7 linked regions of the Macaca mulatta genome follow. The protein of the gene in region 1 purifies or fractionates together with the protein of each later gene. This does not show direct contact. Links are inferred from orthologs where the notes say so. Each region holds a gene or a part of one and is shown in the gene's direction. Other genes may lie near its edges.

Region 1 (4,354 bases):
TATTTGAGATGTGGTCTCGCTCTGTTGCCCAGTCTGGAGTGTAGTGGTGCGATCTCGGCTCACTGAAAGCTCCATCTCCCGAGTTCATGCCATTCTCCTGCCTCAGCCTCCCCAGTAGCTGGGAATACAGGCACCCGCCACCAGCCCAGCTAATTTTTTGTATTTTTAGTAGAGACCGGGTTTCACCGTGTTAGCCAGGATGCTCTCAGTCTCCTGACTTGGTGATCCGCCCGCCTCGGCCTCCCAAAGTGCTGGGATTACAGGCTTGAGAAACCGCGCCTGGCCTACCTCACTTGTATAATTTCACACAGCTGATAAGTGGTTAGCTCTAGATTCCACCACACACCATGTGCTTCCTGTTGTTTTGCTGTATATGTCCACTAAATAATAATCATAGCAAAAATAGTAATTGTATAATGACAGCGGCAGAGGCATCAGGAACAGCAGCAACCATCATTTCCAAGTGTCAGGCCCAGTACCTAAGACTATCCCCATTCATTTATTTTTACTTATTTTTGAGACAGGGTCTCGCTCTGTCACCCAGCCTGGAGTGCAGTGGTGAGAACCACCACACTTAGCTAATTTTTTTTAGCTAATTTTTTTTTTTATTTTTTGAGACGGAGTCTCACTCTGTCGCCCAGGCTGGAGTGCAGTGGCACAATCTTGGCTCACTGCAAGCTCCGCCTCCTAGGTTCAAGCGATTCTCCTGCCTCAACCTCCCAAGTAGCTGGGACTACAGGCTCGTGCCACCACGCCTGGCTAATTTTTTGTATTTTTAGTCGAGACGGGGATTCACCGTGTTAGCCAGGATGGTCTCGAGTTCCTGACCTCGCGATCCGCCCGCCTCGGCCTCCCAAAGTGCTGGGATTACAGGCGTGAGCCACCGCGCCCGGCCTAAGTTTTGTATTTTTTGTAGAGATGGAGTCTCACTCTGTTTCCCAGGCTGGTCTCGAACTCCTGAGTTCAAGCCGTTCTCCCGCCTCAGCCTCCGAGTGTTTGGGATTACAGGTGTGACCACCGCGCCGAGCCCCACCCCCTTATTAAACCAATGCACAGGGAGCATCTACTATGTGCGAGGCACCCCCCATTTTACAGATGGGGAAACTGAGTTCCAAGCAGCTTTTGCCAGGAGTGGGAGCGCGTCGTCCCTGCCCAGCCTCTCCAGTTGGGCATTTCGAGATCACCTACGTAGGCTATTCGGCTAGCGCTTAATTAAACCGAAACACTGTCGCAGCGACCACAGGTGCAGACCACCAGGTCCACACCACCCGCCGCCCGGGAGTCCCCGATTAGCAGTTGGGGCGGGACCAAGTCCTCGAGGGGCAGCCGCGACGGCGGTTGAAAGCCTCACCCCCTGCGCGTGCGCGTTGAGCGTCCCGTCGTCCCGCTGGGCACCCGGCGTCCGCGAAGAGCGCGCGCGCTTCCGCCGGCGTCGGGCTCGCGCACGCGCACGGCGACGGCGGCGGTGGCGGCAGTTCCTGCCCGGGGCTGCGAGCGGCGGGCGGCTTCGAGGGGAACTGAGGCGCGGAGGGGCTCGGCGGCAGCGGCGGCGGCTCGGCGCTCTTACATCTCGGTTCGGCTGGCGCCGGGGAGGGCGGTTCGGTCCTTTCCAGGCGTACGGGGACGACAGCGGCAGCGAGCCGAGGCCTGCGGCCTAGGCCTCAGCGCGGCGGCGGGCTCGAGTGCGGCGCGGAGCCGGCCCGAGGGCCCTACCCGGCAGCACCATGAGCGTGGAGGCGTACGGGCCCAGCTCTCAGACTCTCACTTTCCTGGACACGGAGGAGGCCGAGCTGCTCGGCGCCGATACACAGGGCTCCGAGTTCGAGTTCACCGACTTTACTCTTCCTAGCCAGACGCAGACGCCCCCCGGCGGCCCCGGCGGCCCGGGCGGTGGCGGCGCGGGAGGCCCAGGCGGCGCGGGCGCGGGCGCCGCGGCGGGACAGCTCGACGCGCAGGTGAGCGGCACATGGCGGCGCCGGAAGCCCGGGCCTTGTCTCGGCGCCTGAGACCTGTCCCTAGCCCGTCTCGGGCCGGGCCTGGGTTTGCCCGGAGTCCCCCGTCGCGGCCGGGCCTGGGGCGACCTGCCCCGGGTCCCCTACTCCGGCTGGGCCTGAGCTTACCTGCCCCAGGTCCTGCACTCTGCCCGGGCCTGGCCTGATCTGCCCCGGGTCTCCCGCTCCGGCCTGGACCTGGCTGAGTTCCTTCGGCCCCCAACTCCTGGGCTGGGCCGACTTGCCTCGAGTCCTCCACTCCGTTCGGGTCCGAGCTAACCTGACCCTCTTCCTTTACTCCGGCTGGGTTTGCTCCTCCGCCTGGGCCCGGGCTGACCTGCCTTGTGTCCCACAACCAGCCTGGCCTGGAGTAACCTGCCCTGGTCTGAGTTCTTCCACTCCATCCGGGCTAGGGTGACCTGCCCTGGTCCCTCTTTCTCAGGTCTCGGTTTTCTGCCCCGAGTTCCCCTACGGCCTGGGCCGGGTCTTGCTCAGGCCGGATCTTGAGTGACTTCCCTCAGTCCCCTTCCGGGAGTATCCAGGGTGACCTGCCCTAACCCTGTCTCTGGCCTGGTCCGGGGATTCTGCCCCGTCTCCCCAGTGGGGGGTCCGGCCGCACTGTCCCACCTCCCATCTGTGGTCACAGCCATCTGGGCATCCCCCCTTCCACAGTCACGGAGCCGTAGGTTCGAATTTTCCCAAGCATAAGGGCGCTGGTCAGCGGAAGATTGAGGCAGGGAAGAATTTTTGCCTCCCATAGAGGAGCACACATTGGCTGGCTATTAAGATCATTCAGGAAGCAGTTTGTATTTTATTTTTTCTTGCATCGCCTGTTGCTGAAACCGACCTGTTACATAACTCCACAACTCTTGCCTTGGAAAAGTTGGGTTTGAGTTTTGTTCCTCCAATAAGACAGCAGTAATGGGTTTACATAAATGCGTCTGCCACGTTGGAAACTCATTTTTAATGATGTGGATGTTTAGAGAAGGTTACTTAGGTGTTTAAATGGGGGCTTGGGTTGGGAGAAGTATCAGGCATGCATTTCCTGGTCCTGGGTGCTGCCTGCCTGGGGTGGGAGAGGGGCTGGGGGGGCGCGGGTTGCACCGGGCTCCAGGGGCATGTCCTCATCATCCTCTGGATCTCAGGTTGCTTTCACTTTAGGGTTGCTTTGTGCCTGACCCCTCGCTCAGGTTTATTTTCCTGACAGGGAGTAACTCCGAGGCTCACCTTGGCACAGGTGTCCCTTGGCATGTGCTGGTGTTTCAAAGCTGGGAGAACCACTCCTTGCTCATCCTGAGTGAGCTCAGACCCTGTCCTTGCATGAGGGGGGCTTACTTGGTAGTCGGCTGAGTCATTCCCGTGGGTAGACCACCCACTTGGGCTTCCTTTTAGCCCCTAATGGAAGCAAGAAACATTTGACTCATTCTAACCCCATATTCCTTAAAATAGAAAGTTGGGTGTGAGGAGAACAGGTGTGCACGTATGGGTGGTTTTTTCAGTTTTGTTTACATTTTGTGAAGGTGGGGAGGGAGAGAGGAGAGGTCCCTTGAAGAAGGGAGCAGGACCTGCGGAGGCCCCGCCTCCTTGTAGTTTTTATGCCCTGTAGACCTTTCTGCTTCCGCAGCTGTGAAATGGGGGTGGCAGTTGGATTTTTGTTCCTTTTAAACATAAAGGAAACCTAGATCCATGTGTGAGTCGACTGTATAGGCTGTCTGTAATCTGACGTCCAGCCTGTCGGGGAGACTCAGGGTAAAGATCTCTGTGGAGCAGTGAGCCATGAGCGTGACAGCGCGGATAGAGGGGTTGGCTGGTGTCAAAGGTAATCATTTTCTTGTGAATCCTTTTAACTGTGGCCAGCATAAAACAGCAAACCTGGGGCAGCCTTTAGTTCTACTTTTGTTTCTGGCATTCCGTTTGGGATTAAGTGTGGCGCATGTCCTTCTCTTTCAGTTGAAACAATTGATTTTTTTCCGTGCACCTGAACACACTGGGCTGTACAAAAGGAGAGCATTAAAACGCTCCCCTGGAGGTAAACATTGCAGTTGAGCTCACTAGAGTTCTGATGACATCAGATGGTTTGTCCTGTGCTACTTTTAATTGACCCAGATGCCCCACCCACCTGTTACCTGTAATTTGGATTTGTTAGTGGGGAATGGGAGTGGCATCCCTTTGCATCACAAGGGGAAGACCGGAGTTTGGGGGCAAGGAAGTCTATGTATATAATTCAAGGGAAAGCGGAAGAAAGTTATCACTTGTGTGGATTGATTTGGGAAGACTTTCCCTGTTTGTCCTCAGGAGTTGGCTGTGTAACCAGCTGTTAAGTTGGGGGCTCCTGGAAGGACTCAGAAAGCTTCTCATTCTGT
Region 2 (3,796 bases), on another chromosome or scaffold:
AACATTTGCCAGAGAGTGTATAGGTGACTTATCAACTTGAGACTGTAATTTGCCTAACCTCCTTTTATTTCTAGGTACTTTTACCCATTTCCAGTTCCACCTTTACTTTATCAAGTGGAACTTTCTGTGGGAGGACAGCAATTTAATGGGAAAGGAAAGACAAGACAGGCTGCGAAACATGATGCTGCTGCCAAAGCATTGAGGATCCTGCAGAATGAGCCCCCACCGGAGAGGCTGGAGGTAAGGAGCGGAGCCCAGGCTCCCTGACGCTTCGACAGGGTGGGAGGGTAGTGGGGAGATGTCACTGCACGTTATCTTTTCTAAGAAGGCATGTTGACAGCTGTCCATAATTTTTATTTGAATGCCTCCAAGATTTTATGCTCTGTAGCTTTCTTGCTTTTTACCCCTTTTTTCGTTTTAAAATTTCTTAACAAGAAAGTCAGTTGCCTTCTTTTCCAGTCTATGGCATGGTTTTGAGTGACATGGTGTGAACACGTTAGAAAGTTTGCGATTCAATTGAGTTGTGAAGAACATGTACGGATGAAGTCTTCAGTACTGAAGATTTTGCTTGTGATATATGGTACCAGGTTAGAGAATTTTCTGAAGCTGTTTTTGACCAGCCACTCTTGATTATATAGAAGCGCCTGTTATCTATTGCCTCATAACAAACCGTCACAGAATTTAGTGATGGTTTAAACATCTCCAGGCATTTATTTTGCTCATAAGTCTGCAACTGAGGCCGGGCTTGGTAAGGGTAGCTTGTCTTCATTCTACACAGCTTTGGTTGAGGTGACTCTGCAGGGGGCTGGAAGATCTGCTTTTAAGATGGCTCACTCGTGTGGCTGGTAAGTTGGTGCTTGCTGTCAGCTAGGAGCTCAGCTGGGTCTCTGGCCCCAGGACCTCAGTTCATCCCTGGGTGACCTATGGAAGGATTGCTTACACTTCCTCATGGTATGGTGGCTGGTTGCCCAGAGTAAGCATCCTAGAAGATGGGAAATGGAAGCAGCTGCCAGTTTCTTAAGGCTTAGGCTCAGAAATCACAGCATCGTGTCTGCCATGTTCTACAGGTCAAGCAGGCACAGAGCCCAGATTCAAAGGAAGGAGATATAAAATGTCACTTAAAAAAAAAAATTGAGGTGGCCAGGCACAGTGGCTCACGCCCGTAATCCCACCACTTTGGGAGGCCAAGGCAGGCAGATCATGAGGTCAGGAGATCGAGACCATCCTGGCTAAGACGGTGAAACCCTGTCTCTACTAAAAATACAAAAAATTCGCTGGGCGTGGTGGTGGGAGCCTGTAGTCCCAGCTATTCGAGAGGCTTAGGCAGGAGAATGATGTGAACTCAGGAGGCAGAGCTTGCAGTGAGCCGAGATTGTGCCACTGCACTCCAGCCTTGGGGACAGAGCGAGACTGTATCTCAGAAAAAAAAAAAAAAAAAAATTGAGGGTAAAAATTATATAACCTAAATTGACTAGTGTAAGTGTACAATTCAGTAGATTTTAGTACATTCACAATATGGAGAATCCCATTTCCAGATGATGAAGGGATTGTCAAAGAATTAGGGACCATGCTTTAAAACCACCATGATAGGAAAAGGATTATTAACATTTTTGTGACTCAATAGCAATATAATTCTTAGGGAATCAGTAACTCCATGCCATTGAGGGGGTCAAAGCATTAGTGAATATCTTTGGCCAGGCAGAATCTTATCACAGGTAGAGTCACAAAGGCCAGAAGAAGCCCAGTGAATTGAAAACATTGAGATTTCATAATTCTGTTTAATCACAGCAGGAAATGCCACCTGAAAATATCTCTGGGTAGCATTTGACTTTTCTTCACCAGGAAACATGTTCACAAAGAACAAGAAGATCCTGCACAGAACAGTGGGCTAAGTATGTGATGAGAGGTGTAGACCCAAGCGGACCTTGGGCAGGGTGCCTGCTGAGGTCTGTTGTATCCAACTGCCACCCAGGGCGACCCAGCTCGGGCTTCATGGCTGGCTGCACAGGAACGATTTGTTTTTCTTTCGTTACGCTGCGTTTCCATTTTCCACTGTAATCACCTATTCTAGTAGATGATCTGTTTCCATGGCCCACTAAGGACCAAATCAAAGAAAATGAGGCTGTAGCTAAAAGAGGAGGATTTAGTGAAGTTAAAAGGATGAGCTTTTCAGTGGTGAGATTTGTTAAAACACCAAAAAGGTAGTGGAATTTGAGTTATTTTGGAGGCTCTTCAGCTTTTTACCTGACTGGTGCTAATCTTAATTGGAGTCAGATGGAATAGGTATTTCTAGTACTTCCAGCCAATAGTTGATAAACAATTGCTGGACACTGCTATATGGATTTTGTGCATCACAATCACTTGAGAAGTTAAAAAAAGAAATTCTAGGCCCAACCCCGGGATTCTAATGCAGTAGGTCTAGGGTAAGACTCAGGAATCTGGCTTTTGCTTTTATTGTTCTTGCTGGGTTTTTTTTTTTTTTTTTTTTTTTTTTGAGACAGTCTCCCTCTGTCACCCAAGCTGGAGTGTAGTGGCATGATCTTGGCTCACTGCAACCTCCACCTCCTGGGTTCAAGCGATTCTTGTGCCTCAGCTGCCCGAGTAGCTGGGACTACAGGTGCTCACCACCACGCCCAGCTAAATTTTGTATGTTTAGTAGAGATGGAGTTTCACTGTACTGCCCAGGCTGGTCTCAAGCTCCTGAGCTCAGGTGATCTGACCACCTTGGCCTTCCAAAGTGCTGGGATTACGGGCATGAGCCACCATACCCAGCCATGTTGTTAGTGAGCTCTTGGAGTGATTCTGAGGTATGGTCAAGGTTGGAGAACCACGGATCTAAGCGCTGTCAGCACTTCCCCAGCAGTTCTTCCCCTTGACTCCTCCATGAGAATGATGAGAGTATTGCTACAAAGGATAAGTGCCTATTGGTATTTCTGAGTCTCCCACCTTCACTCACTAGAGCAGCGTTGGTTGGCACAGTCCTGAGGGCAGCAGTTGTTGTGGACATGTTCTCCTGGGCTGTTTTCTCACTGGGTCCTGTGAAAACTCTGAGGAGCTTTGCTGGGGAAAAAACAACAACAACAACAAAAACACCTTTTTTCACTGACGTGTATATTTTGAATATGTTACGTCATTTACTTAAAATTCCTTGGAGGACTCAAATTCAGCACACACCTAAGCACTTTTTAATGGCTGCAAAGTGTTCCACTAAGTGAATGCACTGCTTTGTTTTCCAGCAGGGACTTGATTATTTAGGTTGTTTGTAGTTTTCCCTCTTATGAAATGGGTCGGGAAGAACATTGTTGCAGTAAAGTCTTTGTCCACAGTCCTAGAAGTAGAATTGCTGAACCAGCGGGTATGCACAGTGGTACATATGGCCAAGTTCTCCACAGGAAGAGGGTGCCATTTTACAACCTGCTGACAGGCCATAAGCAACCTGTCTGTCCACAGCCTGCCAGCATTGGAAATGATAATTTTAAACAAATTGTCAGGTTAGCTGTGGCAAATTTGTGGAGCATGTGATTGTGTGGTGGATCAATGCATCTTCTCTAGAAGATACGCAGTAAAGCCAGCACTTGCTGTCTACAGGACAGGTATAGTCTGGGCCCTCTATGCCAGGCGCTGCCCTAGACCCTGAGTTGAAAACAGCCAGTGCCGTCCCTTTTCCTGTGAACTTGGTCAAATGGAGCTGCCACACATTAACATCAATATCAGCAAAAAGTGCAGTTAGTACAAGGATGGAAAAGTGACAAGGATTAGAAGAACGTAAAGTATTTCATTTAGGTTGGAGTAATGG
Region 3 (4,397 bases), on another chromosome or scaffold:
GATGGCGCCACTGCACTCCAGCCTGGGAGACAGAGGGAGACTCCATCTCCAAAAAAAAAAAAAAAAAAAAAATTAGCTCAGAGTGTTGTGGCCTGTGCCTCTGAGTAGTCCCAACTACTGGGGAGGCCGAAATGGGAGAGTCTGTTGAGCCCAGGGGGTCGAGGCTGCAGTGAGCTATGATGGTGTACCACTGCTCTCCAGCCTGGGCAACAGAGTGAGACCCTGTGTACAAATAAAATAATAGAAGAGAGGGTAAGAGACAAAGAGATTACTGGGGGAAAAGTCTAATACGTCTTTGGAGTTCAGGAAGGAGGGAAATAATAGGTAAAACTAATACTGGAAGATATAATAGCTAATAAATTATATAAATGGATGACAAACCTCAAGCCATTGATTCAAGAAGCTCAACAAACCTCAAGCAAGATTTTTTTTTTTTTTTTTTTTTTTTTTTTTTTTTTTTAAGACGGAGTCTCCCTCTATCACCCAGGCTGGAGTGCAGTGGCGCCATCTCAACTCACTGCAACCTCCGCCTCCTGGATTCAAGATTCTCCTGCCTCAGCCTCCTGAGTAACTGGAATTACAAGTGCCCGCCAGCACAAGCCACCGCACCCGGCCCTTTTTTTTTTTTTTTTTTTTTAAATTAATAACATTTATTTAAATCTGGATGGTGGTTATGTGGACAGAATACGTTTAGACTTAAGATGTTTACGTTCTGCTGTAGTAAATTAAATATCAAAAAAGTACGTATGGAAGGGAGGTAGATGAGGGATAAAAGTCTACAAGTTGGATTCAGTGTATACTGCTCGGGTGATGAGTGCACCAAAATCTCACAAATCACCACTAAAGAATTTATGTAACCAAGCCGGGCGCGGTGGCTCAGGCCGGTAATCCCAGCACTTTGGGAGGCTGAGGCGGGTGGAACACCTGTTTTCCACATTAATTCAATCAATATACTCCTCCTATCTGAAACCTGTTTCTCCTGCTTCGAGTTTGTAGACGTGTAGTGTTCATGGTTGCCTAAACTCCCTTTTCCCCATCAACTTCAACTGCTAGTGGCAAAAATGGCTGATACTGCTTGCGTTTTTGGGGTAGGAAAATCGGCAAGGTATTTTCATTCACTGAATGTAATGTAAATTACGTGTACGGTACAGGGCAATGAAAAAATTCCGATAGCAGAGGATGGTTTCGATCCATCGACCTCTGGGTTATGGGCCCAGCACGCTTCCGCTGCGCCACTCTGCTATCTGAAGGCCAACGTTCTCATAACTGTTATAGAAGACCACGTAGTCGTTGTCCTGACTTCTTCAGTGCCACCTAATGTCTGATCAAAAATTCGTCATTACTATAGAACCAGTTCTTATTGGCTAGTTCCTGACACAGTAGGCGTTTTTTATTGGTTCATAAGCCCGGTTTGACAAAGTAAGCCAATAGGCATAAGCGATGGGGTAAGGCGGGAGCCAATCACGCCGGGTTTTATTGGGACACGCCGGCAAGACTCCTCTTCAGTTGTCTGCTCCTCAGAGGAAAGGGGCGGTTGGTGCGGCCTCCATTGTTCGTGTTTTAAGGCGCCATGAGGTAAGGGGGTCGAAGTGGTCGAAAGGTTTCAGGTATTCGACGGAAAACTTTGGGAACGTGGGTCGAAAGAAGTCGGAGTACCTAAAAGGACCATGTATCCGGGAGCTGGCCAAAAACCTGAGAACTCCTGGTCTAAGAGAGTGGGAGAGAGTGAGGCCGGTAGAGGCGGGGAAACGGGCCCGGGATGGGGTTGGGGCCCAGGAGTGGGGAGGCGGGTTCGACACCTCTCTCTGAAGGGTTGCGATGAGGAGGTGTCCTCAAGTCCCCGGAGGAGCTCCCCACCTTCCCTCCGCCCCCGTCATCCGGGCTGAGAATGCTGGAGCGAGCCGCATTCATCCTCAGTGCGAAGGGCTTGACATATAGGACATGCCCGATAAATGTGTACGTTAATGAAGAAATGAGCAATCTTTAGCTTCCGAAGTATTAGGATTCGTGTGGCCCAGGATTATGGGTTATTTCGTGTAGGGCTCACTGTCTGAGCCCCATCATTACTTGATGGGGGGTTGTGATTAACTTATCCAGAATGAGGAGGTTATGGGGGTGTAACTGGGCACCATTTGGAATGGGGAGGAGTGTGTGAGTGGGGTCTCTTGCCTACCGTTGGGAGGTTCCGAGGGATGAAAGTAGCCAACTTAAAATGATATGGCCGGTGGGTATTCCTTCAATGAGATCAAAATAAAATCTGCATTTCTAGGGGTGACAGAGGCCGTGGTCGTGGTGGGCGCTTTGGTTCCAGAGGAGGCCCAGGAGGAGGGTGAGTGCCAGCTTTTAGCATCTCTGCACTTAGTTGTTAGTTTCTGCTTGTCATCTAAATAGGAGTTTTGGAATAGACTAATGTCACTTGGTTTTGTGAGAGCCAACTGTGGTCTTTTCCGCACTCCTGCTAAATGAATTTGGCCCCACTATGCTAAGAATGATTCTCTCCCTCCCCAGAGACTTTGTCACTCATTCTGAGGTCTGACATGTTTTCAAAATTGTTGGTGTGTTATTTAAATCTCACTTGATTCCTACATAGGGAATAATTTGGCTGTTTTTCATGTTTTAGGTTCAGGCCCTTTGTACCACATATCCCATTTGACTTCTATTTGGTGAGTACCTTGGGTTAATAATACACAATTTCTGGCCATTCTTGAAATGGAGCCTAGTATCTCCCAGTTAATGAAGTTAGATAGTGGTTGAAGAGGGCAGGCACAGTGCCTCACACCTGTAATCTCAGCACTTTGGGAGGCCGAGGCGGATGGATCACCTGATGTCAGGAGTTTGAGACCATCCTGGCCAATATGGTGAAACCCCATCTCTAGTAAAAATAAAAAAGTTGCTTGGGCGTGTGCCTGTAATCCCAGCTACTTGGGAGGCTGAAGCAGGAGAATCGCTTGAACCCGGGAGGCGGAGGTTGCGTGAACTGAGATGGCACCACTACCAAAAAAAAAAAAAAAATGGTGATTGAAGTGAGGGGGAAAGTGATTTTTGAAAAGACTTGGGGTTTTGAGTCAACTGTGTGTTGCTTTACCTACAGAAACAGTGTAAGCATGGTGGGGAGAATAATTCCTTGACTACTGTTGGCATTAAACATGATTATAATCTTTGTTCTGAACAAGTAATCGTATCTACGGCTAATTTGTTACTATAAAGATAGTGATAGCTTAAATTATGGCTATTCCAGCTTGTATCCTTGTTTGAACATTTTTTCTTTTTTTTTTTGAGACAGAGTCTCACTCCGTCACCCAGGCTGGAGTGCAGTGGTGCAATCTTGGCTCACTGCACTGAACCCGGGAGGCAGAGGAATCAGGACCTCTGCCTCCCAGGTTCAAACAGTTCTCCTGCCTCAGCCTCCCAAGTAGTTGGTATTATAGGCGCCATGCCCAGCTATTTTTTGGGTATCTAGTAGAGACGGGGTTTCACCATGTTGCCCAGGCTGATCTTGAACTCCTGACCTCAAGCGATCTGCCCACCTCGGCCTCCCAAGGTGCCGGGATTACAGGCGTGACCCACCATGCCTGGCCTTTGAACAAAATTTTTTTTTTTTTTTGAGGCAGGGTCTTACTGTGTTGCCCAGGCTGGAGTGCAGTGGCACGATCTTGGCTCACTGCAGCCTCGCTTCCTGTGTTCAAGGGATTCTCCCACCTCAGCTGGGATTACAGGCGTGAGCCACCATGCCCAGCTAATTGAACAAATTAAGGAGTAAAAACAAGTGTAGAATTTTCTATTTTTAACCTTTTTCTGTCGTAGTAATAGAAAAAACAATCTCTCCTGTATATTATTTTCGGCAAATGGAATGTAGTTGTTTACTTCTGGTTTAGTGTGAAATGGCCTTCCCCCGGGTCAAGCCAGCACCTGATGAAACCTCCTTCAGTGAGGCCTTGCTGAAGAGGAATCAGGACCTGGCTCCTAATTCTGCTGAACAGGTATGTTCTTTTGGCTGTCTTCCAGAAATGTCTCTAAAGCAGGTAAAAGTATTGGTAAAGAGTAACTGTTGGTAAGGTTAAGAATGGTGTTAACAGAGCCTGAAATCCACAGAGGGTTTAATTGTTCTCCTTATTTCTCATTGTGGGTGGAGACAGCCAGGTGGATATATAAACAAATTACATATGCATTCTTATTTTTATTGGGGATAAAGAGTTGTTCTCTTTCCATATATTCAAGGCCAGAATGAAGTGTTTTTAAAGTCCTAGGTCAGTATTGAGTCAGCTCGTATGGAAGGGATTAGGAGAAAATACTCAAACTCTGAGAATTTGCTTCTAATTTTTCATCTTCGAGTATTGTTTCATGCTGTTTTTCAGGCATCTATCCTTTCTCTGGTGACAAAAATAAACAATGTGATT
Region 4 (2,852 bases), on another chromosome or scaffold:
GGGCAAAGCCCGCCTGAGCCCCCGAAGCGTGGGCGTCATCTCCCCGTACCGGAAACAGGTCAGGTCCTCAGTTACCAGCAAGGGTGGGGCCCCTCCCCCAGATGGTACCTCCTTAATATCCAGACCACTAGGCAGAGGCTTCAGGAGGTTAGGCCTCTGCTGGCTCTGTATCTCAGAAGAGCACCGAGGTCAGCTGTCCCCTCCCTTTGTTCCCCAGCTCTCTGGCCTCCTGCCAGGCTCCCTCGTGCATGAGGTTAATGGCAGGAGAGAAAGGCACCTGTCCCCCTCCTTCCAGGTGGAGAAAATCCGTTACTGCATCACCAAACTTGACAGGGAGCTTCGAGGACTGGATGACATCAAGGACTTGAAGGTGACACGCTGTTCCACACTCACTCCCTCCCCTCCGTGTGCTCCCACTTGCCCACTTCCAAAGACTTTCTCAAGCTTCCACTCCAGTCCAGCCCACATCCCCGTCCCACCCCTGCTGCCTTGAATAGAGCTGGAGCTCTCCCCAAGCCTCTCACTCCTGGAGATTCCAACTTAATGGTCTGGGATGGGATCAGGAAGCCTGGATGTTTAACAAGCACCTCCTGTCATTCTTAGACTCAGGCAGGTTTGAGGCCTCTGCCCTACGGATAAAGTCCAAATTCCGTGGCCTGTCATGTGATGCTCCCACCCCCACCCCCAGTAGCCTCTGTAAGGTTGTGGTCTCAACACTGGCTGCAGATAACAATCACCTGGAGAGCTTTTAATACCCCCGTGCCAGGGCCCCGCCCACCAGCTCATACAGCTATGGGGCAGAGCCAGGGCACTGGTAGTTTTTATAGCTTCTCAGGTGATTCCAATGTGCAGCCAGGGTTGAAAACACTGCTCTAAGACTTACAGGCCTCTCTCTCGGAAATTCTGATGGGGGGGTCTGGGTTAGGGCCCAGGGTTGTATATTCTTAACAGATACTTGGTGATTATTTTCCGGAAAGTGTGAAAGTCACTGCTCTGAGTTCCAGTGTGCTTTGCAATGCTGTTTTCTTTCCTTAGAACACTTTGCAGGCCCCACCCCTCAACAGGATTCACCCTTCAGGTTTCAGCTTCCATTGCCTACCTCCTGTCCCCTTTCCCTGGGCCGTGTCGCAGCACTCACTTGTTCACTCCACTGGTCTACAATTGCCCAGTGACCTCTCTGTACCCTCCTTGGATGGCAGGCTTGCTGGGGTAGGGCACCCCTTTGACACGCCTGGCTGGTCTCAGGCCCTGCCTCTTTCCCCGATAGGTGGGTTCAGTGGAAGAATTCCAAGGCCAAGAACGAAGCGTCATCCTCATCTCCACTGTGCGAAGCAGCCAGAGTTTTGTGCAGCTGGATCTGGACTTTAATCTGGGTTTCCTTAAGAACCCCAAGGTTTGAGGGCTGGTCGGGGTGGCAGGAATTCTTCCATCTTGGGGCCCTTCCCTCCCATGACCACACTTCTTCCTTCCAGAGGTTCAATGTAGCTGTGACCCGGGCCAAGGCCCTGCTCATCGTCGTGGGGAACCCCCTTCTCCTGGGCCATGATCCCGACTGGAAAGTGTGAGCATTCCCACCCCATTCTCCCTCTTGGTGGCCACAGCCCCTGCCTAAGGCAGGTGGATCTTTTTTAAGCGCTTGCTTATCGCTCAGTTAATCCTCAGATGTGTCCATTTTCACAGCACCCCTATTATATTTACAAGTTAAATGACATCCAGAGGTTGAGCAAGTACAGCTCAGATGTGACAGGACCGTGGCTTAGCCTCCAGTCTCTGCTGGCACTCCTCTGTACCCCACAGATTCCTGGAGTTCTGTAAAGAAAACGGAGGGTATACCGGGTGTCCCTTCCCTGCCAAACTGGACCTGCAACAGGGACAGAATTTACTGCAAGGTCTGAGCAAGCTCAGCCCCTCTACCTCAGGTATGGCTGGGCCAGGGTGGGCCAGGTTGGGGACAGTGCCAGAGGAAGTGGTAAGGAAGACAAAGTGTACTTTATTTCTTTCCAGGGTCCCATGGTCATGACTGCCTCCCCCAGGAGCAGGAGGGTGAAGGGGGCCTGTCTCTGCAAGTGGAGCCAGAGTGGAGGAATGAGCTCTGAAGACACAGCACCCAGCCTTCTCGCACCAGCCAAGCCTTAACTGCCTGCCTGACCCTGAACCAGAACCCAGCTGAGCTGCCCCTTCAAGGGACAGGAAGGCTGGGGGAGGGAGTTTACAACCCAAGCCATTCCACCCCCTCCCCTGCTGGGGAGAATGACACATCAAGCTGCTAACAATTGGGGGAAGGGGGAGGAAGAAAACTCTGAAAACAAAATCTTGTTCTATGCAAAAGCCTTGATAATGTCTCCTCTGCCTGGCCCCAGCTTCCTGAGCCCCCAAGTTGACCCAGTAGGGAAGGGTGGGACTTTCAGCCCTGCTCTGGGACACACCCCCTCCCAGCTGGAGAGGAAACCCAGTGGGAGGTGGCAGGGAAGCCACCCACAGGTTTCTAAGTTTAGCCCCCTGCTACAGACCACTCCCTTCACCCGCCTCCTTGGCCCAGAGCCAGGCATGACCTCATCCTTTGCTCTAAGACTCCACCCTGCCGGCCGCTGGCCTGCCTTGTAGGCAGGGGGCCAGGCTGGCAAGCAACTTGGACATGAAAAGAGATGGGACACTAAGCACCCAGAGGGAAAGACCAGAAGCTGCCACACACGTTGGAGCCTGTAGCCTTTATTCATGCCCCCCTGACCAAATGCAGTGAGAGACAAGGCCCCTGCCAAAAACAACTCCAGGGGCCTGGGACTCTGGGTCCCCTACTGCAGATACTTTCCTGTGAGCCAGAATTGTATAAAGTGCTGGTGTGTGACCATCCT
Region 5 (4,351 bases), on another chromosome or scaffold:
GCAGGCTCTGGGGTAAATCGCGTGCAGCTGGAACACGCATCGGCTTTGCTGCCATCTGCTAATGTGAATTCCATTCCTTTTGGGGCCTCGATTTCCTCCTCCATAAACTGGTATCCACAATGCCAACCTTGCGACAGGCTCCGTGAATGTGAACGCTGTGAGAGTGCGCGTCTCTCCCTCCCGGGAAGAACTTGGATGGTGTCAGGACTACACTCTCGCTCCGCCTAGGGCCGCTCGCTGGGCCTGGCTTCCTGGCCGTCGGGCTACGCGGGCTCAAAGGACACCATCGCCCTCTTATGGCCCCGGCAGTACTGGACCAAGGGGCTGGGCTCTAGCGCCTTCCTCCAAGCACGGCGGAGGGCGAGGGTCTGGCCGCTCACTTACCTAGGGCCTTGGGGCACTAGCATTCACGTCACGGACTGCCTGGCAGGGCTGACTTTCTTAAGTGTGGTCGTGCGCCTTGCTTAAGTGGAAGAAATGCTGTCGCTTTGGAGATTTATAAAACAATTGGTTCGATGGATCTTTCTTCAGGAGGCAGACTTGGTTTACCTGCTTTTCTGACCACAGTTGATGTAAATGATTTCATTTAATCCTCTTTAGAGTCCCTGTGCATGGGGAATTACCATTCCCAATTAGTTTGTTGTGAATGTAGGGCAAGGAGAGGGAGACGGTAGTGGGGAACGGGAGAAGGGGCGAGGGGGTACGCTCCTATTAAAACGGAGCCGCAGCAAAACCCACAGAGACATGTCTGTTCCCTGCTGAATCCTTAGAACAGCGCCTGGCACACACAGAGCACTCAACTCGCTGTGTAACTAAATGCAAGCCATCTTCGTATTATGTGTGCACTTCCCTTCCCTACCAAATATACCTGGCTTGCAAGGTTTGACCTATACTGTTAGACGATTTTTAACTTGTTTCCAAAAGAAATATTGGAGTAAATTAGCTTGCTTAAAGAAGTCTTTATGAAAGAACAGAACCAAGTGAGAAGTATCTGGAGCCCGGTTTGGAGGTATAGATGATGATGCTGAGCAAGCACCCACGGGGCGGCAGCAATGTAGAATACTGGGGCTACTAGGAACCGTGTGGACAGGGGCTCTTCTCTCTGTTCAAATAGTGTTTTCTGTAGATCCCATCTCTCCATCCTCCTGAGCTCTCTCTTAGAAAATACCGGATTTCAGCAGCTTAGAATCGGACAGAAACTCAGAGGTCCGTTTCTCAATTATCGCTAACCCTTGTAAACAATAAATGGGATGGTGAGTACAAGACAGTTTTGGTAAAAAGTCACACCCCACACAACATGAGATTGTATTATTCCACGGGTGCTCCCTTGCCAATAGTAAACATGGCAGCTCGGCTCCCTTCCCTTCGGGTTCGCCTTAGTGTTGCCAATTGTAAACATGGCCTCCAGGCCGTGAGTTCTCATTGGCAGCTGCTCTGAGTCCCCGCCCTTCCCCGCCCCTCCGAACGCGGCCAGGAGTCGCGGAGTCGGATATCGCGGCTCCCGGCTGAGCTGCGCCTGCGCAACTCATTGGCGCCAAGATGGCGATGGAGATGAGGCTTCCAGCGGCTCGCAAGCCTCTTAGCGAGAGACTGGGTCGCGACACTAAGAAACATCTAGTGGTGCCGGGGGACACAATCACTACGGACACGGGATTCATGCGGTACGTGGGGACTTGGGGGAGTCGAGGCTTCCATAGAGCGGCTTCAGGGCTCTCTGCACGTGGTCCAGGCCTCGTATCCCGGTGTGTCTAACTCCCCGCGGGACCCCAGGCACTTGGTCTGAGCATCCTACTCGCCTCGCTTCCGAGCCTCGTGCTTCTTGCCCCCTGCGTCTTGTGTGTCCCCTTCTGCGTTTGTCTCAGCTCCCTGAAACCCTCCACTCCTGACCTCTGGTGGCTGTGACTTTTGGGTCTTCTGCCTGAAGTCCAAATCTTTGAGCCTTCCTTGTAGGAGACCTGGAAAACCGGGGAGGTTTAGGCGCAGGCTCTCTTTCCAGTTTTCAGCTCTCTGAGGGGACGGTGGGTGTTCTTGGCCGCCTCCTCTTCAGTTTAGAATCCGTAATTGTTCCAGCTTAGGGCAAACAGTTACATTGTGCTGCCTGCACCCATTTATACACATTTTGAATCCAAGGGGTGCAGTACAGTGTGTTGTAGTTAAGAGGGCAGGCTCTTTTTTTTTTTTTTTTTTTTTTTGAGACAGAGTTTCACTCTTTTTGCCCAGGCTGGAGTGCAATGGCGCGATCTCAGCTCACTGCAACCTCCGCCTCCCAGGTTCAAGCGATTCTCCTGCCTCAGCCTCTCGAGTAGCTGGGATTACAGGCATGTGCCACCATGCCTGGCTAATTTTTGTATTTTTAGTAGAGACGGGGTTTCTCCATGTTGGTCAGGCTGGTCTTGAACTCCCGACCTCAGGTGATCCACCCTCCTCAGCCTCCCAAAGTGCTGGGATTACAGGCGTGAGCCACCGCGCCCGGCCGAGGGCAGGCTCTTGAGTCAGACAGTTGGGGTTCCAGTCCAGCTACCATCACATCTTATTAGCGGCATTGCCTCTCCACGGTCAGTTTCCTCATCTGTAAGATAGTGATAATAACAGTATGATACGGTAATGAGGATTAAATGAGATAATTATGTAAGAAAAGAAGTAAAACCAGCCATTATATCATCATCATAGATAACACTAGCGTTTCAACCTTTTTTTTCTGTACATGTATCTATACAAGGGGCACAGCATTCATAGCATTGCCCTTTAACCTGTTAGTTTAAGGCTAGTGGATCCTAGGAAATATTTTTTTTTTCATTTTTGAGACGGAGTCTCTCTGTCGCCTAGGCTGGAGAGCAGTGGTGGGATCTCGGCTCACTGCAACGTCTGCCTCCTGGGTTCAAGCAATTCTCCTGCCTCAGCCTCCTGAGTAGCTGGGATTACAGGCACCTGCCACCATGCCCAGCCAATTTTTGTATTTTTAGTAGAGATGAGGTTTCACCATGTTGGCCAGGCTGATCTCGAACCCTTGACCTCAAGTGTGATCTGCCCACCTTGGCCTCCCAAAGTGCTGGGAGTACAGGCATGCCCAGCCCCTAGGAAATTTTTTTTTTTTTTTTTAATGAGACAGAGTCTCACTCTGTCGCCCAGGCTGGAGTGCCGTGGCACAGTCCCAGCTCACTGCAACCTCCACCTCTTGGATTCAAGCAATTCTCCTGCCTCACCCTCCTAAGTAGCTGGGATTCCAGGCGCACGCCACTACGCCCGGCTAATTTTTGTATTTTTAGTAGAGACGGGGTTTCACCATGTTGGTCAGGCTGGTCTCAAACACTTGACCTCGTGATCCACCCACCTCGGCCTCCCAGAGTGCTGGGATTATAGGCGTGAACCACCGCACCTGGCCAGGAAATCTTAAGATTCATTCTTTCGTTAATGCTTTCAACATATATTTATATTTTGTGCAGTTGGGATATAACGGCAGAGTGAAAAATCTCTGTCCTGGTGGAGTTCTAACGGAGAATGTTAGGCAATAATGCAATGGGGAAAAACGTGGAGCAGGGTCAATGGAATGTGGGGGAGTGGTGGCAACGGGGTGGGCTGTGTTTTCAATGGCACAGTCAAGGTAGGCCTGCTGGAGAAAGTGACACCTGAGCAGACCTGAGTGAGAGGAGTGATTTCCAAGTAGCCAGTCTGGAGAAGGAGCACTGAAGGCAGGCTTTGCAGGGGGAGCTTGTTAGCTTTGAGGAACACATTGTTCTTGAAAGGAGAGAGGTCACCTCGAGTTACCCTGGTATCCTTTCTTTGTACCTTTGCCTTGCATCAGGGGCCACGGAACGTATATGGGAGAAGAGAAGCTCATTGCATCTGTTGCTGGCTCTGTGGAGAGAGTAAACAAGTTGATCTGTGTGAAAGCTTTGAAAACCAGGTGAGAACAAAAGGTGTGTATTCCCTTTCTTGCGGCATCCAGGTTGTACAACCAGGCTTTTTCTGCCCCCTCCATATCCCCTACCCCACCCCTGCCTGCCCTGTCATGCTGTAAGTCTGAGGTTTTGACCATGACTGTAGGTGGGGTGGTGCAGATCAGTGTAGGCTTCAGAGGTTTTCCCATGTTATGTCACCACTCCAAGCCTTGGTTACCTCCTCTGCAAAGTGAGTATAATAGCATGGCCTACTTCACAGGATTTTCTTTTTTTTTTTTGAGACGGAGTCTCGCTCTGTTGCCCAGGCTGGAGTACAGTGGCACAGTCTGCACGCTGCAACCTCTGCCTCCCGGGTTCAAACGATTCTCCTGCCTCAGCCTCCCAAGTAGCTGGGATTACAGGCACTCGCCACCACGCCTGGCTAATTTTTTTATACTTTTAGTAGAGACAGG
Region 6 (3,796 bases), on another chromosome or scaffold:
AGAAAAGAGCCTGCCTGTGTTTTTACCTCACCTGAGCTGCTTTTTGCAGTAGTTGAGTGTCAGCTGTATATTTGGCTGTTTAAGCCTGAAGTGAAGAACTGAAAGACTAGTATTGTTGAACTACCTTAAGAGTAAATAATAAATGTCTTAGACACTTTGAGCAAGTTGGATACATTTTAGGCAACTGCCGATAGTCTTGGTATGGTATTGATGCTTTATTCATGTTTTTATTATATGTTGAATTTGGCTTTTGTCCCCACAGGGAAGTTAAGATATGCCAACAACAGCAATTACAAGAATGATGTCATGATCAGAAAAGAGGTATGCCTTCTGAGAGGCCTTCATTTTCTACATTTCAGCTTTTTGTCTTGCATTGTTTTTGTTGTATCTAGTATTGAAAGGTAAAGAACAGGGAGAGAGACACATGTCTGTAGACAGCTTCTGGATTATTTCCCAAATCATCTTTTAGTTGGGATTTTTTTATTTTACAATGTGGAATCAATTACTGGTAACCATTGACATACCTTGGTTTGAACCCTGAGTCTGCTGCTTACTACCTCATGTGACAGTGGGCAAGTTCCTGGCTGAACTTGATTAAATCTCTGTTTCTTCACCTGCAAAAACAGGGAAAATAAAAGCTACCTCCCACTCCCAAGTGCTGTCATAAAATTAAATGTGTTATACTTAAAGTGCTCTATATATTCCCTGGCACATAGTACACAATGGAGAGCTATTTAATTTGCATCTGAGTGGGAAAGGGAGCATGGGAAAGCAGTTGATATCATTGAATGCATGTTAGATGTCAGGCATGGCATCTTATTTAACCCTGATTATAAGCCCATATGATGGGGGAGGGTATTATAGCCCCCTTACAAATAAGAAAATAAAGGCCCAGATATTAATTATGAGACTTGTTCAGAGTTACCCCTGCTAGTAAGAGATACAGCAGGAATTCCCAATTAAAGGAATTCCCCAGTAAAGTTTGTATTCTCCTCTCTGTGATTTCTACTACATCATTAAGGCTTCATCAAAGCTACTCTTTTAACCACTCTGCCACCTTTGAAAATGTCTTAGCATATATTTTTCATACTGTTGTTTTAGCTATCAGTTTCATGCTTATTCACACATGTCAACATTCTCACTATTTTTTTACACAGGCATATCTTTTCAAATACATTTTGCTCCTCAGGAGCGTATTACCTAGTTAAGAATAACTGGCCGGGCGCGGTGGCTCACGCCTGTAATCCCAGCACTTTGGGAGGCCAAGGTGGGCGGATCACGAGGTCAGGAGATGGAGACCATCCTGGCTAACACGGTGAAACCCCGTCTGTACTGAAAATACAAAAAAATATAGCCGTGGTGGTGGGTGCCTGTAGTCCCAGCTATTCAGGAGGCAGAGCGTGCAGTGAGTCGAGATTGCACCACTGCACCCCAGCCTGGGCCACAGAGTGAGACTCCGTCTCAAAAAAAAATAAACCAGGGCATGTAGGTGTTGCTGTCTCTTTTGTTTTGCTATAACAGAATACCTGAGACTGGGTAATTTTTAAGCCATAAAAATATATTTCTCACAGTTTTGGAGGCTGGGAAGTCCAAGATCAAGGCACTGGCAGGTTCAGTGTTTAGTGAGGGCCCAGTCTCTGCTTCCACAACTGTGCCTTGTTTTTGCATCCTCCAGAAGGGATGAATGCAGTGTTCTCATATGGTGAAAGAACAAGCAAGGGGCCAGCTAGTTCTCTTAAGCTGTCTCCTAAGGCACTAATCCTATCCATGGGGGCTCTGCCCTCAAGGCCCAATCAACTCTTAAAGGCCCTATCGATTAACACCGTTGCATTGGGGATTAATTTCAACATGAATTTTGGAGGAGACACAAAAATTCAAACCATAGCAGGGGGCATTCACAGATCTATTTTGGGTTTCTTTGTGAGTTGGCTGTGTGGACAGGCAGAAGGGCCATGTAAACAGGATGTACCAGGAGGTAGTAACAGCTAGATGGGGGACTGAGGTGCAGTTTATTAGATACTTCTGACCCTGTCCCTCACCTGCATCATGCCGAGGTTGAGCATGAATGTCTTCCCACTTAAGAAGATGCCAGAAATAAGTCTGCAGGAACAGTTATTTTTATCTTCCATCACTATCTGAGTCAAAGCACTGCTTAAGGATACAACATACATTTTGTCTTTTAACTTGCTTTCAGGCTTATGTACATAAAAGCGTGATGGAGGAACTGAAGAGAATAATCGATGACAGTGAAATTACCAAAGAGGATGATGCATTGTGGCCTCCTCCTGACCGAGTGGGCCGGCAGGTATGTTTTATTGATTATCCTGTAGTGCAGAAATCTTACAAATAAGATGAGGTTTAGTGCTCTGCATATGATAGTGAAACTGTGTGCATGTGTGTGTGATGGTGGTGGTGGTGGTGGTGGTCAGCCCTGCAGAAAGCAGATTGCCAGCACCTTGGTCTAAGGAAGCATTAATCCCACAGGAAGGAACAGAGAGAACAAGTGCTGCTGGCCACCAAGAACCCAGCCTTGAATTTCTTCTTAGGACCCCCCACACTCCCTCCTCCACTTAAAGCTTTTGCTGCCTATCTCATTTACTAACTACTATGGACAAAGCATTGTGGAGATACAAAGAAAAATAGAACATGATTATTTCACCAATCTAATGAAAGGAAAATCATACAAATAATTCAGTATATGTATTTAAATTCATGTGTATTTATATACATTATATATTCATTCCGAGCACCGTTTTGTTAACTAAAAAATAAAAGCCACTATCATATTGAACTGAATTAACAGAAAAGGTATTTTCACTCTGACTGCTACCATCCTAATCCAGACTTCTGGACTTCTAATAGGTTCCCTTGTTTTTCCTCTTGTTCCATACCATCCATTTTTCCATCCTGAAAGCCAATGTAATTTTTTTTTTTTTTTCGAGACGGAGTCTCGCTCTGTCGCCCAGACTGGAGTGCAGTGGCATGATCTCAGCTCACTGCAACCTCCACCTCCTGGGTTCAAGTGATTCTCCTGCCTCAGCCTCCCGAGTAGCTGGGATTACAGGCACACACCACCATGCCCAGCTAATTTTTGTATTTTTAGTAGAGATAGGGTTTCACCATGTTGGCCAGGCTGGTCTTGAACTCCTGACCTCAGGTGATCCGCCCACCTTGCCCTCCCAAAGTGCTGTGATTACAGGCGTGAGCTGCCGCGCCTGACCAGTGTGATCTTTAAAAATGTAAATTTGCTTATGTATTCCACTGATTTAAACTCCAATGGCTTCCCACTGTACTTAAAATTTAAACTCCCACCTTATCTTTTACCATGCTTCCAGTCTGTCATGGTGTTCAAACCTTACTAGCTTCATTTCTGTTCCTCAGAAATACCTAGGTGGTTCTTACTTCAGGGCCTTGGCACTTGCCACATTCTGCCTAAAATATTCTTCCTTTAACTCTGTACAAGACTCTCTCTATTATTGAGGTCTTCAAAAGTCGGTTCCTCGGTGATATCTTGCCTGTCCATTCAATCTAAGAAGTCTCTTCCCATCATTAAGAAAAAGATCTGTTGTGCTGTCTTTGTGTGTGTGTGTGTGTTTTCTTTTTGCTTTCAGTTTCATCACAATATGTGTTGTCTTTGTAGCACTTATTGTCTAAAATTGTCTTACTTGCTTTTCAATTTTTTCACTGCTATATCTCCAGTGACTAAAATAGTGCCCATGTATAGTAAAAGCCCAATAATAATTTGTTAAATTAACATGAAAACCCATATAAACTCATGCCTAATAACCTCAAAATG
Region 7 (3,796 bases), on another chromosome or scaffold:
ATGATTAAAGTGAGAAAGAGTCAACATATCACCACACTCTGTACCTCATCCCGAGTTTTCTATAAATGCTAATAATTTTCCCTGATTTTGCTCAACTTTGAGCGGGGCATATGACATCTACTCTCTGGCTCCATCTATAGGATCTCAGGGCCTGTTCCTTACTGCTGAAAGTATCCTTATTTATTCTGAAGGGTGGTAAAGTTGCAGGGTGGAAGGTGGATGCCTGACTGTACACATATGGCTACCCAGATGAAATTAAACTGAGGGCCAAAATAACTCACCTATGGGTTAACGGTCACTATTAGTTCATAATTCATGTATGCTGTTTAATGAATTAGAGTATAGAGAACCCTGGGCCCCAGAACAAGCAACTTAAAGTCATAGACAAGTTTTTTTCAGCTTGTTAGCATCAGGCATCTCATTTGTAAAACAAATGGACTCTAAGGTCCTTTACATATTTGGATTTTTGTGATCATGGGAAAGCAAAATAATTAGTAAAACTAAGATAGTAAAATTATCTTTTATTGGCTATTAAATAATTTGCTTTGATATTCCATTTTTAACTTAGGTGAATTTAAATATCTTCAGCATGTCCTTTTTGATCTAATGAGGTTTTAAATACTTTCTTAAGAGTAGGGTCTTTTTTCTGACACGTTTGAGTTTCAGTTTATTATAGTTTTGCTTCTCTTGGTCACAGGTAAAATCCCAGACAGAACTAAGAAAGACTCCAGTGTCTGAAGCCAGAAAAACACCTGTAACTCAAACCCCAACTCAAGCAAGTAACTCCCAGTTCATCCCCATTCATCACCCTGGAGCCTTCCCTCCTCTTCCCAGCAGGCCAGGTAAATATGTTTTATAATTTCTTCTACTTAATCTTTTCTGTGCAAGAATTTCTGTTCACTCACTGAGAAATGTGTATTCTGTTAGAGTAATGTTACTAACCCAAAGAAAGTTCTGTTTTCCCTAATGCTTATAAAATTATTTTTGAAATGTTTCTGTGTAGTGTACATGCAAGTGCATGTTTGTTATGATGAAGGAAATCCTATCACTGAACACAGAAGCTACTTACACAACACTGATTACTTCAGTGGATAGAGGAAAAGTGTCAATATTTTTAATTCTTCAAATCAAGTTTGACAACGTGACTGATCTCTTTTATGATGTGTTAGAGGACTCCCTCTACTTACCTGTTTTTAAAAAAATGAATTTTTTGCTGTTTCTTTAGAACTAAATCTGTGTTCTTCTGTTTTGAAGGGTTTCCACCACCAACATATGTTATCCCCCCTCCTGTGGCATTTTCTATGGGCTCAGGTTACACCTTCCCAGCTGGTGTTTCTGTCCCAGGAACCTTTCTTCAGCCTACAGCTCACTCTCCAGCAGGAAACCAGGTGCAAGCTGGGAAACAGTCCCACATTCCTTACAGCCAGCAACGGCCCTCTGGACCAGGGCCAATGAACCAGGGACCTCAACAATCACAGCCACCTTCCCAGCAACCCCTTACATCTTTACCAGCTCAGCCAACAGCACAGTCTACAAGCCAGTTGCAGGTTCAAGCTCTAACTCAGCAACAACAGTCCCCTACAAAAGCTGTGCCGGCTATGGGGAAAAGCCCGCCTCACCACTCTGGATTCCAGCAGGTAAGTTACAGTTGTGTGTACTGTCCAGCTGAATGAAATAAAGGGAAATGCTGAAAGATTGAATGTTAGAAATGCTGATTGAACTTTGACATACTTCTTGTTTAGATTTGTAGTGATTATGAGAAGGCAAAAGTATTGTCTCTACTGTTTATGAAAGTTCAAATGTTTTCCTTACTTTTGTAAAGTGTATAATACTAGATCTTAACTACCATTCTTGGCTGCTACTAAATGTCCATTTTATTGAAAATGGATTTTCTGCAAATAATTCTATAGGAACATAAACTACTAGGGAAATAGAATCACAGTCTTGATGAGGTACTAAGACAGATGTGACACCGATCTTAAATGTTGTCGTTTGAAGCACAGCACTTGAAGCAGAAAGGGGAAACAAACACTCTTATGCAAATATATTCATTCATTCATTAACCCTCTTAAATAGTTGAATTAAAAGAAAATATGAGTGTGGTGCCCATAATCTGTTCCCAAAAAGCTCTGTGTATTGAAAAGCCCAAAAGGTAAAGGAAACTGCTGCCTTGCCTAGAGTTTTGTTGCTTGGAAAACACCTCAAGTTCATTCTGTGATTCTTTAGCATTCATTATAAGTAATATTGCATTTTATCCTCACCTTGATGACAGGCATCTCTTTTTTAGTATCAACAGGCAGATGCCTCCAAACAGCTGTGGAATCCCCCTCAGGTTCAAGGCCCATTAGGGAAAATTATGCCTGTGAAACAGCCCTACTACCTTCAGACCCAAGACCCCATAAAACTGTTTGAGCCGTCATTGCAACCTCCTGTAATGCAGCAGCAGCCTCTAGAAAAAAAAATGAAGCCTTTTCCCATGGAGCCATATAACCATAATCCCTCAGAAGTCAAGGTCCCAGAATTCTACTGGGATTCTTCCTACAGCATGGCTGATAACAGATCTGTAATGGCACAGCAAGCAAATATAGACCGCAGGGGCAAACGGTCACCAGGAGTCTTCCGTCCAGAGCAGGATCCTGTACCCAGGATGCCATTTGAGGTGTGTGTTCTTTCCTATCACCGGGCATTTTGGAGATAGGTTTGGGGTTGACTATCTTTTGAATATCTCAAATGGATCTTATAAAGAGGCCACTCTTATTCTTTAGTACTATAGAATGCCACTGAGTATTGGTGTAGCTCTTGGTTTCCTCCTCAAAGTTGCACAGTATGTTTTAGTTTGGAAGCTGAAGAATTCTGTAACTGATTCAGAACTCTGATGGTCTGGCAAAGAAACCATGTACAGAAATCTCTAAAACAGCATGTTAGAGAATTCTGAGACAAAGCACTCCTCTCAGTTGGGCTGAATCATCTAAGTTTAAAAATAGGTTTACTGATACTTAAATAAGTTGCTCTCTGAGAGGAACAAAGTTAACCAGTTATCTTGGACAGTGGAGGTCCCTTTCTTTGCCCTTTTTATTCATGAGAAGCAGGTGAATGTTAGTAACTTTTTAAAAGATCTCTTACTTTCTTTGTTAGCACAAGAGATGCTAATTATTTTGCTCCTCCATAGCATTGTTTTACTTAACTAGCCACATTCACCTTTTGTGTTCTGCTCTGTCAGTATTTTTGCTTTTCTATTGTCTTGAACTTTCTCCAGTATTGTCCTTGTGTTGCTTTGCCTTTGCATTTCAGAGCCTTTTTTCTTTGCCTAATACCATCTATCTCACTATCCCCTTGACTGTAGTTGTCTTCTTCCACCTAATCATACTACTATTCCTTTATGCTTTTGTTGTCCCTTATTGCATCTCACTGTGATCCTTTCTGTCACTAGGACCCCAAGAGCTCCCCTCTGCTTCCTCCGGACCTGTTAAAGAGTCTGGCTGCCTTGGAGGAAGAGGAAGAGCTGATTTTTTCTAACCCTCCTGATCTTTACCCGGCTCTGCTGGGGCCTCTCGCCTCTCTTCCTGGACGAAGCCTTTTTGTATGTATTTGACATAATTCTGCTTCTTGCTCTAACTCCCAGCTGCTTTTCTGAGATATTGTAGTACACAGATTAGGTGATTTCTTATCTTCCTGGGGCTGTCCTTTTCAGAACTGTAAAACATATTTTCTAATTCCCTAAACCAACCTTAAGATGGTAGTAGGATATAACAAAGCATTTCTGACTTTATATTTCTCCCAAATTGTAGAGACATAC

The links.
Region 2: the proteins of UPF1 (region 1) and STAU1 purify together in Homo sapiens (affinity purification with mass spectrometry; 7 studies listed by BioGRID and IntAct, with this or other methods). This does not show direct contact. The link is inferred for Macaca mulatta from reciprocal best matches to the Homo sapiens genes UPF1 and STAU1.
Region 3: the proteins of UPF1 (region 1) and ILF2 purify together in Homo sapiens (affinity purification with mass spectrometry; 3 studies listed by BioGRID and IntAct, counting the BioPlex papers as one, with this or other methods). This does not show direct contact. The link is inferred for Macaca mulatta from reciprocal best matches to the Homo sapiens genes UPF1 and ILF2.
Region 4: the proteins of UPF1 (region 1) and MOV10 purify together in Homo sapiens (affinity purification with mass spectrometry; 3 studies listed by BioGRID and IntAct, with this or other methods). This does not show direct contact. The link is inferred for Macaca mulatta from reciprocal best matches to the Homo sapiens genes UPF1 and MOV10.
Region 5: the proteins of UPF1 (region 1) and EXOSC2 purify together in Homo sapiens (affinity purification with western blotting; 3 studies listed by BioGRID and IntAct, with this or other methods). This does not show direct contact. The link is inferred for Macaca mulatta from reciprocal best matches to the Homo sapiens genes UPF1 and EXOSC2.
Region 6: the proteins of UPF1 (region 1) and MAGOH purify together in Homo sapiens (affinity purification with western blotting; 3 studies listed by BioGRID and IntAct, with this or other methods). This does not show direct contact. The link is inferred for Macaca mulatta from reciprocal best matches to the Homo sapiens genes UPF1 and MAGOH.
Region 7: the proteins of UPF1 (region 1) and SMG7 purify together in Homo sapiens (affinity purification with western blotting; 7 studies listed by BioGRID and IntAct, with this or other methods). This does not show direct contact. The link is inferred for Macaca mulatta from reciprocal best matches to the Homo sapiens genes UPF1 and SMG7.

Annotation. Positions count from the first base shown.
Region 1 is NC_133424.1:19,389,237-19,393,590, forward strand, and holds the start of UPF1 (regulator of nonsense transcripts 1), read left to right. Parts: upstream 1-1,442; 5' UTR 1,443-1,724; coding exon 1,725-1,955; intron 1,956-4,354. UniProt on the Homo sapiens protein: RNA-dependent helicase required for nonsense-mediated decay (NMD) of aberrant mRNAs containing premature stop codons and modulates the expression level of normal mRNAs.
Region 2 is NC_133415.1:101,962,829-101,966,624, reverse strand, and holds part of STAU1 (double-stranded RNA-binding protein Staufen homolog 1), read left to right. Parts: intron 1-74; coding exon 75-240; intron 241-3,796. UniProt on the Homo sapiens protein: Binds double-stranded RNA (regardless of the sequence) and tubulin.
Region 3 is NC_133406.1:113,368,222-113,372,618, forward strand, and holds the start of ILF2 (interleukin enhancer-binding factor 2), read left to right. Parts: upstream 1-1,482; 5' UTR 1,483-1,570; coding exon 1,571-1,575; intron 1,576-2,269; coding exon 2,270-2,329; exon of another isoform or gene 2,330-2,361; intron 2,362-2,620; coding exon 2,621-2,663; intron 2,664-3,856; exon of another isoform or gene 3,857-3,875; coding exon 3,876-3,980; intron 3,981-4,355; coding exon 4,356-4,397. UniProt on the Homo sapiens protein: Chromatin-interacting protein that forms a stable heterodimer with interleukin enhancer-binding factor 3/ILF3 and plays a role in several biological processes including transcription, innate immunity or cell growth.
Region 4 is NC_133406.1:127,559,601-127,562,452, reverse strand, and holds the end of MOV10 (helicase MOV-10), read left to right. Parts: coding exon 1-58; intron 59-295; coding exon 296-370; intron 371-1,267; coding exon 1,268-1,393; intron 1,394-1,472; coding exon 1,473-1,561; intron 1,562-1,680; exon of another isoform or gene 1,681-1,797; coding exon 1,798-1,919; intron 1,920-2,004; coding exon 2,005-2,096; 3' UTR 2,097-2,346; downstream 2,347-2,852.
Region 5 is NC_133420.1:16,887,928-16,892,278, reverse strand, and holds the start of EXOSC2 (exosome complex component RRP4), read left to right. Parts: upstream 1-1,518; 5' UTR 1,519-1,539; coding exon 1,540-1,661; intron 1,662-3,802; coding exon 3,803-3,904; intron 3,905-4,351. UniProt on the Homo sapiens protein: Non-catalytic component of the RNA exosome complex which has 3'->5' exoribonuclease activity and participates in a multitude of cellular RNA processing and degradation events.
Region 6 is NC_133406.1:187,373,263-187,377,058, forward strand, and holds part of MAGOH (protein mago nashi homolog), read left to right. Parts: intron 1-262; coding exon 263-321; intron 322-2,194; coding exon 2,195-2,305; intron 2,306-3,796. UniProt on the Homo sapiens protein: Required for pre-mRNA splicing as component of the spliceosome. Plays a redundant role with MAGOHB as core component of the exon junction complex (EJC) and in the nonsense-mediated decay (NMD) pathway.
Region 7 is NC_133406.1:41,024,405-41,028,200, forward strand, and holds part of SMG7 (nonsense-mediated mRNA decay factor SMG7), read left to right. Parts: intron 1-697; coding exon 698-842; intron 843-1,254; coding exon 1,255-1,637; intron 1,638-2,287; coding exon 2,288-2,659; intron 2,660-3,430; coding exon 3,431-3,580; intron 3,581-3,796. UniProt on the Homo sapiens protein: Plays a role in nonsense-mediated mRNA decay. Recruits UPF1 to cytoplasmic mRNA decay bodies.